2 linked regions of the Coturnix japonica genome follow. The protein of the gene in region 2 purifies or fractionates together with the protein of the main gene of each other region. This does not show direct contact. Links are inferred from orthologs where the notes say so. Each region holds a gene or a part of one and is shown on either strand. Other genes may lie near its edges. The genes, in order: DYRK1A and KIAA0232.

Evidence for each region.
Region 1: the proteins of KIAA0232 (region 2) and DYRK1A purify together in Homo sapiens (affinity purification with mass spectrometry; 3 studies listed by BioGRID and IntAct, with this or other methods). This does not show direct contact. The link is inferred for Coturnix japonica from reciprocal best matches to the Homo sapiens genes KIAA0232 and DYRK1A.

Annotation. Positions count from the first base shown.
Region 1 is NC_029516.1:96,485,377-96,489,187, reverse strand, and holds part of DYRK1A (dual specificity tyrosine-phosphorylation-regulated kinase 1A), read right to left. Parts: intron 3,262-3,811; coding exon 2,638-3,261; 3' UTR 1-2,637. UniProt on the Homo sapiens protein: Dual-specificity kinase which possesses both serine/threonine and tyrosine kinase activities. Exhibits a substrate preference for proline at position P+1 and arginine at position P-3.
Region 2 is NC_029519.1:72,409,950-72,414,424, reverse strand, and holds the start of KIAA0232 (uncharacterized protein KIAA0232 homolog), read right to left. Parts: upstream 2,956-4,475; 5' UTR 2,786-2,955; intron 1-2,785.

The sequences.
Region 1 (3,811 bases), on a different chromosome or scaffold from region 2:
AATCTGAACACAGGTATTTAACCTTTTCCATGCTGTTTATGTTTACAATGCACAGAAGTCCTGTAACCAAACTGTGTAGTAAAGCACACAAAACTGGACTGTAACATAACACAGTATGCATAAGCACTGGATTTTGTGGTTTCTTCTTTATGTAGTTAGTTTGTTTTTTATTAATTGCTTCGTTTTTTGGCGCTTGCTAAGGTGTGGCAACCCGTGCACACAAAAATACCCAGATTTCATATCACCCTTATATTCCTAGACAGCAGTAAGTACTGGATTCCTTTTTATATTGCTGAACTCAGTATCCTTTTTGTTTTTAAGGTGACAGCTTTCCAATCCCTGTAAACTTCTCTTAATCACTGAGTTTAAGAAGAAAGGAAAACAATCAGGAAAAAAACAACCCACTTTCATCCACAGGGTTGACACTTCAATAGAAAAGAAATATGGATCACTTGATAAAAAAGTCGTGATTTACCAAAAAAAAAAAAAAAAAAAGGTAATCCCAAGTATTCATTCTCATGTACATGGTATTCAGCTGCTGTGCTGCTACTGCAAGTATAAAAAAGTCCACCTTTTAGTCTGAAAAAAAATTACTTAGCCACATGGAACTGATCAGTGTGAACTCCGGAATTTCTGCTGAATTAACTTTTAAAAGGGCTTACTGGCAGAGGTAGATCACTGCTTCTGTAATATATAATGGGCAAACAGTGTTAATCTGGGATGGGCAATCACTGACTCACTCTTATTCTTTCAGATGTTTTTCACCATGCTTTTACTTCTAATATTAATAAATCTCTGACTGGGCCCATAAATTTTGCAACTGCCAAGCTGACTGTGTTATATTAAGGCAGCATTACCCAAAAATTAGGCACCTGTTAAATACAGCCTTCTAACCTCAGGTCTCATGTGAGTGTTTTGCTTTACTCAGACTATTATTTTGGACCTGTTCATGCAATCAAGGTCTTGCCTTCAAGTTTACAATTATGTTAATAAGGAATACAAGAATCAAACTGCTGGTTTCATAGCTTCTGGATCTAGCGTCCCTTTTACCTTCAGAAGCCTGAACACGTTTATAATGTAACAGATGTTATAGTCTTGAAGTAGATGTCAATCTATTATGTTCAGTACACAGATTGCTGTAAATGTATTGGCTATGAATTCAACAACAGTTCCAGTTTTGTTTAAGCAATAGTACAGCCATAATTTTCAACTGACATTTAAAAATGGTCTAGTTACACCTTGTGTCAAAGTGCAGAACTGCTACATTATTGGTTACAGACATCTATGTGCTATAAAAACAGCTTTGGTACAATAAATTATCAAAAAAGAAAATAAATTTTTGTAAAATTCACAGCATAATTGTGAGGCAAAAAAGCAGTCACATAAAATTCTGCATTTTTAAAAATGTTCAGGATGAACAGAAGACGTCTTTGTGCAGAAGTAATGGTGGAGAAACCACGTGCCAAGAAAAAGCAAAAGAAAAAAGTAAAAAGCGGGAAGGGACACAGTTGTAGCTATTTCCATCAAACGCAAACCACTACTCCTGTGACCTTCAACCAATAAGGAAGTCAACTTTATGACACACGCAAAGTGACCTTGCAATACCTTACAATAAGTGGGTCACAAAAGTCTATTTTAAAAGAAAGGCCTCTTGAATTACCCATTCTCTGTGTTTTCAGCATTAAGGACCGTCTGCAAAAGCATGTCCAAAAGTGATTGCATCTGAAATGGTAGGCTCTTCTAACTTAAGAGTCCAAATCCATAAGGCCAAAGGTTATCCCAAAGACCACCACTTAGACCTCCCCACGACTGGCCAGGACCGACCCGTTGATTGCTTCTCAGTGCACCTTAGTTATGAAACCAGTCATATTTCAACACTAACTGACTGCGGTCTCCAAAATATGAGACACGCAGAATCCCATTACAATTGCTGCTTTGATCCTCAGTAGATTCAGATAAGGAGAGTTCTGATCACCGCCACTTATCATGCTTAATGTGCCTTACAAAATCCATTACAACCGTCCCTTTTTACAACTGAAGAATATATATTTGTGTGATCTGAAGGTCCCTCTTTCTTACAGTACTGCATTTCTGTGCCCATGTTTGTTTGGGGAACTAAAAAAAAATACACTTATCTTATTCACTCCTCTCCCACCCAAAAATTTCAAAGGGCCTTTTTGTAAATCATGTGCAATGCCATTAAAAAGAAACTAGTTTGCAACTACAGCTAACATTTGAACAATAATCCCTGTTGAATGAGTCTGAAAAAGGGGGGAAAAAAAACCAAAAAAATTTTAAAAAACCCCTCTTTCTCCCCTCCCCTCCCCAGTCCCCAAGAAAAAAAAAGCAAACTATGACTAGGTTGTGGCAAGTTAAAATGGGGGAAGCGAAAGGTGAACGCTACTATGCTATCTGTTAAGGTGGGTCCGGACATGGCTCTTAAAAAAACAAACCAAACCAAAAAAAACTTCATTGTCCCTTTGCAATCTTTTCAAGTCTAAAAAAATAGTCAGCTTTGCCCTCCTGTAGCGGTTCAGTGAGTTTATCTCCTTCTGATTCAAGCAGCTTTGCACTTTGTTTTTGGAAAAACACCACTTCTATAAAAACACACAAGAAACAAACTTAGTTTCAGTTTAGTCACGAGCTAGCCACAGGACTTTGCTGAACACAAACTCCTGTCATGGGAGACTCTTCTCTATCAATCCCTTGCCTCATTGCAAGGTGTCCTTCAGTCATGTAATGAGCAGGACCTGTATTAGCAGAAAACTGGTACGTTGGATGTCCAGCTATGCCAGTTTCTTGGCGCGGATTAGAGTAGACTGTTAAATTCATGTCCATAGCTCCATTTTGTCCAAAGTCCAAGGTATTAGCAGCCACTGGGCGGTTCTGATAGGCCTGATTGCCTTGGTTACCAGTAGAGGAGGAAGATGTAGAGGAAGAAGTAGTTGAGGAAGACAGGGATGTCATGGAGTGGTGACTGTGGCCCACCTCCATAGAATCCTGGGTGGAGGAGCTGTTTGTTGGAGAATTGTAGACCCTTGGCCTGGTCCGGCTACCCAAGGCTTGCTGTCCATGATGATGGTGGTGGTGGTGGTGGTGATGGTGGTGGTGAGAGCTATTTCCGTGATGATGATGTAATGCATTCTGTTGTTGAGGGGTTACATGGAAGGTGGTTTCTTGAACTGGATGGTTTTCAACAGTGACCTGTGTGGGAGCTTCAGTGGCTGTCCAACCAATCGGAGGAGGAAACTGTTGTCGAACCTACGTTAACAGGAAAAGCAAATAGTGAAATGATTATTCATTTCTAATATACATTTCTAAATATAAAAAGTTTGTATTCTGAACTTTTTTTTTCCCAAACAATAAAAGTATGTCCAATTAATGATCTCACTGACAAATTAAAGTAAGCCAGATCTAGAAACACATCAATTTGTTGAATGAGTTAAATCACATACATGGGAGAAAAAGAATCTGTCAGCTGCAAAGTAGTATGTACAACCTTTTCTGGTTTCCATGGGCCTCTCCAGGAGCTGCAGCAGAGCTCCTGACCCACACCTGGTGCATATGCTGCCCTCCCCTGCTCAAGACCTTGGCACCAGCAGAGCTGTTTCTTTCTATAGTTAGTCATTCCTTTCTCCCAGTTGCTGCTGTACAGTCTTTTTTTTCCCCTTTCTTGAATCTGCTACCACAGAGGTGCAACCAGTGTCACTTCTTGGCTCAGTTCTGGCCAACAGCTGGTCCCTTTTTTAAGCCAGATGGAGCTTGCTCTTATCTAACTTGGGTCAGCTCCTAGATTTTTCCCAGACGACAC
Region 2 (4,475 bases):
TTAGTGTTCCAGGCTCCCCCAGCAGTGCAGCTGTCTAGAACAATCCCTGCTACCTCTCAGCCTATGGAAATTCTAAGCCTTGCTGTCCTCATCACACTCTGCTTCACCATCCGTTACCACTCGTCACCTTACATTAATAAGTTATTACCACTGCAGAATTGTAGGGGCTTCGCTTTATTCCACCAGACAAGTATGAAAGATGTGCTGTCAAGGTGTGTCTGAAGAATAAAGGGCAAAATAAATAAAAGCAGCAAGCTACAAAGGAGTAAATGGAAATGGGGGTCTCTTTCTCACACCATCTACAGGAAGCCCTAGAATTATATATACCTTTGAATATATTATCATTTAGATGGGCTTAGAGGTGATATTTAACATATACCACTTTCAATACCCATCATTAAGCGATTCTGAATGCTCCTTTAAGCAGAGTCTGAAGTGGCAGATGATTTTGCTCAGTTTGAACTGAATAACTAGGATTCCTACTGGGGCTCTGTGATACTATGGCAGCTTAGGAAGGACAAGGAGGGAAGCTGACACTCAGTTATAAGCAGTGTACAGATCCCACTTCGTCCCTCTTCCTGCTAGAACGCATAGCAAAGCAGCAAAGGAAAATGCTGACATCCTTTTACTCCTATGGAATTTCTCTTACTCAGAAGAACAATGAATAGCAACAAGAGGGAAAGCAGTGGGGGGTGCAGGCTATGGAATCAGCATATTAAGGTAACAGATGTTCAAGACCTCCTATCTTTCCTCTGGGGTCACATATCAATCTGTTCTCCTCTTCCTCTCGATTCACCTGCTGATGAGCAGAAGGGCCATGGGGTCACGTAGCTCATGTCAATCTGCACAACCCGCAGTCTACAAGCATCATTACCTCCAACAGTGCACAAAACAGACAAACTGAGATTAAGTTCCATTGCTGTCAGCACGGGAACACCTGCTACACACAACGAGGCATGGACAGCAACTGCTGAGGTTTTCCACACAGAGTTCAAAGCAGGATTTTCCCCTAGAATTCTTGGAACGTGGAGGACATGACACACGTATAAGGAACTGCTTGTCTTCATTCATGTCATCTACTTCCTCTCTGGCATCTCAGTGCTGGAGTTTGGGGATTTTGACACACACACACAACAAACTTTATTAATCGCAAGGGAAGGGTTGTACACGACCATTTTAGCACATCCATACTGACAAGAAGCAGCAGATGGAGGATCAGTACAAAATAAAATCCGCAGAGTTACACATCAAGTAACGAGCAAGTTACGTGTCATTTACTTTTATAAGGAATATTTCTGTCTTCAGCAATAAATCTAAGAAAGGCCATTTCAGATGGGCAGGGACCACAAGCAGCCTGCATTGCTTGGGATCGGGTGCTGTGGTGAAATAACTTGCTTCATACAATTACCCGCTGAATCACAGCAAGCTCACCTGTGACAGCTGGGACACCCAATTTGATCTGCAATTTCCTCTTCATCACAGCGACACAAAGTCGTGCGTGCGAAAAAAAAAAGGCCATAAAGCCCAGCATTCCGAAGGGCTGGCAGGGAAACCTGCTGCACACACCGCAGTGTCCTCAGCTCCACTCCTATCAGCTACAACCCCACAGACGGAAAACGAGGGACCGCAGGAATGCCTGCTCTTAAGAGGACAAACGGCACCGTCCTCACCCTTCACATAAGCGCCAGGTACCGCAACGAGCCATTAAAACAAAGACAAAACGGGGCAGCGCACCGCGGTCCCACTTCTCTCAAAGTTTAGGAGGGTGGCCGCGCTCCGGGCAGCGCAGCCCGTGTGAAGCCGGCTCCGTCCGTCGGGCTGGATGCTGGGCCGGACGGCTGCCGCGTTCAGCCGTAACCTTCGGCAAACCTTGGCCCCCGCCCCGCCCGCCGCCCGCCAGCGGCTGCGGCCCAGCCGGGCCCGCCCCGCGCGGCCATAGGACGCGGCTGCCGTCACTCCGCCGTCAGCCGAGCCCCGCCCCCCGCCGGCGGCAGCCCGAGCCTTTCTGTCCGCCTTTTGCCTTCAATAGGCCCCTAAAGGACAATGCTGCCGGGAGGGGAAAGAAAAGAGGCGGGGGGGGAAGAGAAAGAAAAAAGCGGCTCCGAGTCCCGCCGGCCGCCTCCCGCCTGAAGCCCAGGAGCTGCCCGCACCGCCCCGAGCCGCAGCGCTCAGCCCCGCTGCGCTGCCCGGAGCCGGCGGAGCGCGGCCGAAAGGTCACGGCGGGGCCCGCGCTGCGCTGCGCTGTCACGACCAACCGAGCTCCGGCCGTCCCCGCCCGCCCTGCAGCTCTGCCCTGAGCTCTGCCCTGAGCTCTGCCCTGAGCTCTGCCCTGCAGCTTCCAGCTCTGCCCCCCCGGGTGCGCCCGGCCCGCGCTGCGGCTCCCCCCGCCCTTCACCTGGCGCCGGGACCCCGCGGGTCGGATCGGAACGATGCGGGCGGGGCCGGGCCGGCCGCCAGCCGCTCGTACCGGGGCACCCCGGGCCGGGCCCCCGGCCCCGCCTCCCGGCCCTGCCCGCCGCCGGCGCTCGCTGTCACCCCCCAGCCGGCCCCTCTCTCCCCTCCCGCCGCTTCCACTCCCCGCTCCCCCGCCCGGCCCGTGGAGCCGTCCTCCCGCCGCCCGGCCCCGCGGCTCCTCCTCTAGCTTCCCGCCGGCACACGGAGGGAGCGAGGGAGGCCTCCCCGGCCGGGCCCGGCCCTCGGTGCGGCGGCGGCGGCAATGGAGGCCCCGTCCCCGTCCCCTCGCCGCCCCGGCCCTGCCCCTCCCGCCGCTCATCCCGGGCTTTACCTGCCGTGGCGGCGCGGCGCGGGGGCCCGGGGCCTCTGGCAGCCGGAGGAGGCGGCGGACTCCGTCCCGCTGCGGCCGTCCCCGAGTGAGGCGGGCGGGACGGAGCCGGGACCTGCCCCGGGAGGCGTTACGTAAACCGGCGGCGGCGGCGGCTCCCAGCGCCACGGGGAGGGAGGGAGAGAGGGAGGGGAGAAGGGGAGGGGGGGGGAGGCGGCCGTTCCGTCACCCGGCAACAGGACTCAGCTCCCCGGCGGACCGCGCCGCAGGCCCCGCCCCGGATCCTTCCGCCCAGAGGGCGGCCCCGATCCCGCCGCCCAAGTGCGGGGCTGAGGGGACGGGAGAGGAGCGGAGAGGGAGAGCAGAGCGGCTGCATGGCGGCAGGAAGGGCGGGACGGGACGGGAAATGTCCCTTTGGGCCGCCTGGGTGTTGCGGCCCCGCCCGGTGGGGGAGCGCCTGAGGAGAAAAGGGGCGGGAGGAGCCCGGGGATGGAATGTGGAGGAGAAGGAAGTGGGGATAATGACGGAGTGACACCGTGTGCGGGCACTGCGAGGGCACGGTGTGAGAATAGAGTGGGTGAGGGAGCCGGGCTGAAATGAAAGGCTGCTATTGGGAGCCGCTGTGAGGAGATGAGAAACTTTTATCCCCGTGGATGAAGCGCCGGGTTCGTCAGAGCTGTGTGTGCACCGAGGGGTGATGAAAGAGCAGCACTTTTAGTGTGGTGGATGGATGAAAGTAGGCCGCGGTGAGACTGAAAATACGACGAGGGCGGCACACCGCAGTGCTAATTAAGCGTCTTAATTGGGGAAATAATAACGCCCTCTTGGATGTGTGTTGGGTCTGTTCATTTCTCAGCTGTATGAGCACACGCAGGTGCAAGGAAAGTCAGTATTATGTAAGATGCCAAAGTCAGACCGTGTCATTCTGAGGGTTTTCCCTTTACTCACAGCCATTAACCAGGCTCATGCTACCACTGCTGTCCATGCTGAAACCACGCTCCCCACTGACAAGATGATCCCGCAGCTGGGTGTGGGCATTCCAGAGAGTTAAACCTGTGTATGAAAACTCATAGAAACCACGAATGTGTGCCAAGGTAGTGGCCACTGCCTCCCCACCCACGTACTTATTTGTGATACACGACAACAGCATTACTCTTATTTCTCCTTAATTTTCATTTTTAGCCAGGAATTGGTTTTGGTTTTTTTTTTAGCTGTTCTTTACCAAGCACCACATTTAGTTGTACATTTGATTTAGCTGAGCAAATAAACCTATCTTTAAAGTTAAATGTGCGGGACTGTGTGACTGCATGAGCTACTGACGTTGTCCTGAATGCTGCCGAGGCAGTAATTGGTGTCATATGAACATGGAGTTAATCAGCACAGCTTCTTCCAAACCTTGACAGAGTATTATGGGAGTGCTCTGAAGAGAAAGCAGCGCTTCAAACCCCGTGCTGGAAGAGCGGAGTCATTCCGTGAGCTGTTTAATTACTGTTTCACTTATTTTCTTGTTCAGAAGAGCTGAAACTGAAAACGGAAAAGCTTGGGGAAATATCCTGCTGACTGTTTTCTGCTGAGTCACTCCACGGCTTTATCGAAAGCACTTCACCAGCACAGCAATACGACCCGTGCCAATCAAAATCACATCTCCTTTTGTTTTCAAGCTCGGAATCTGAGTTCCCTTTTTGAAGATAGA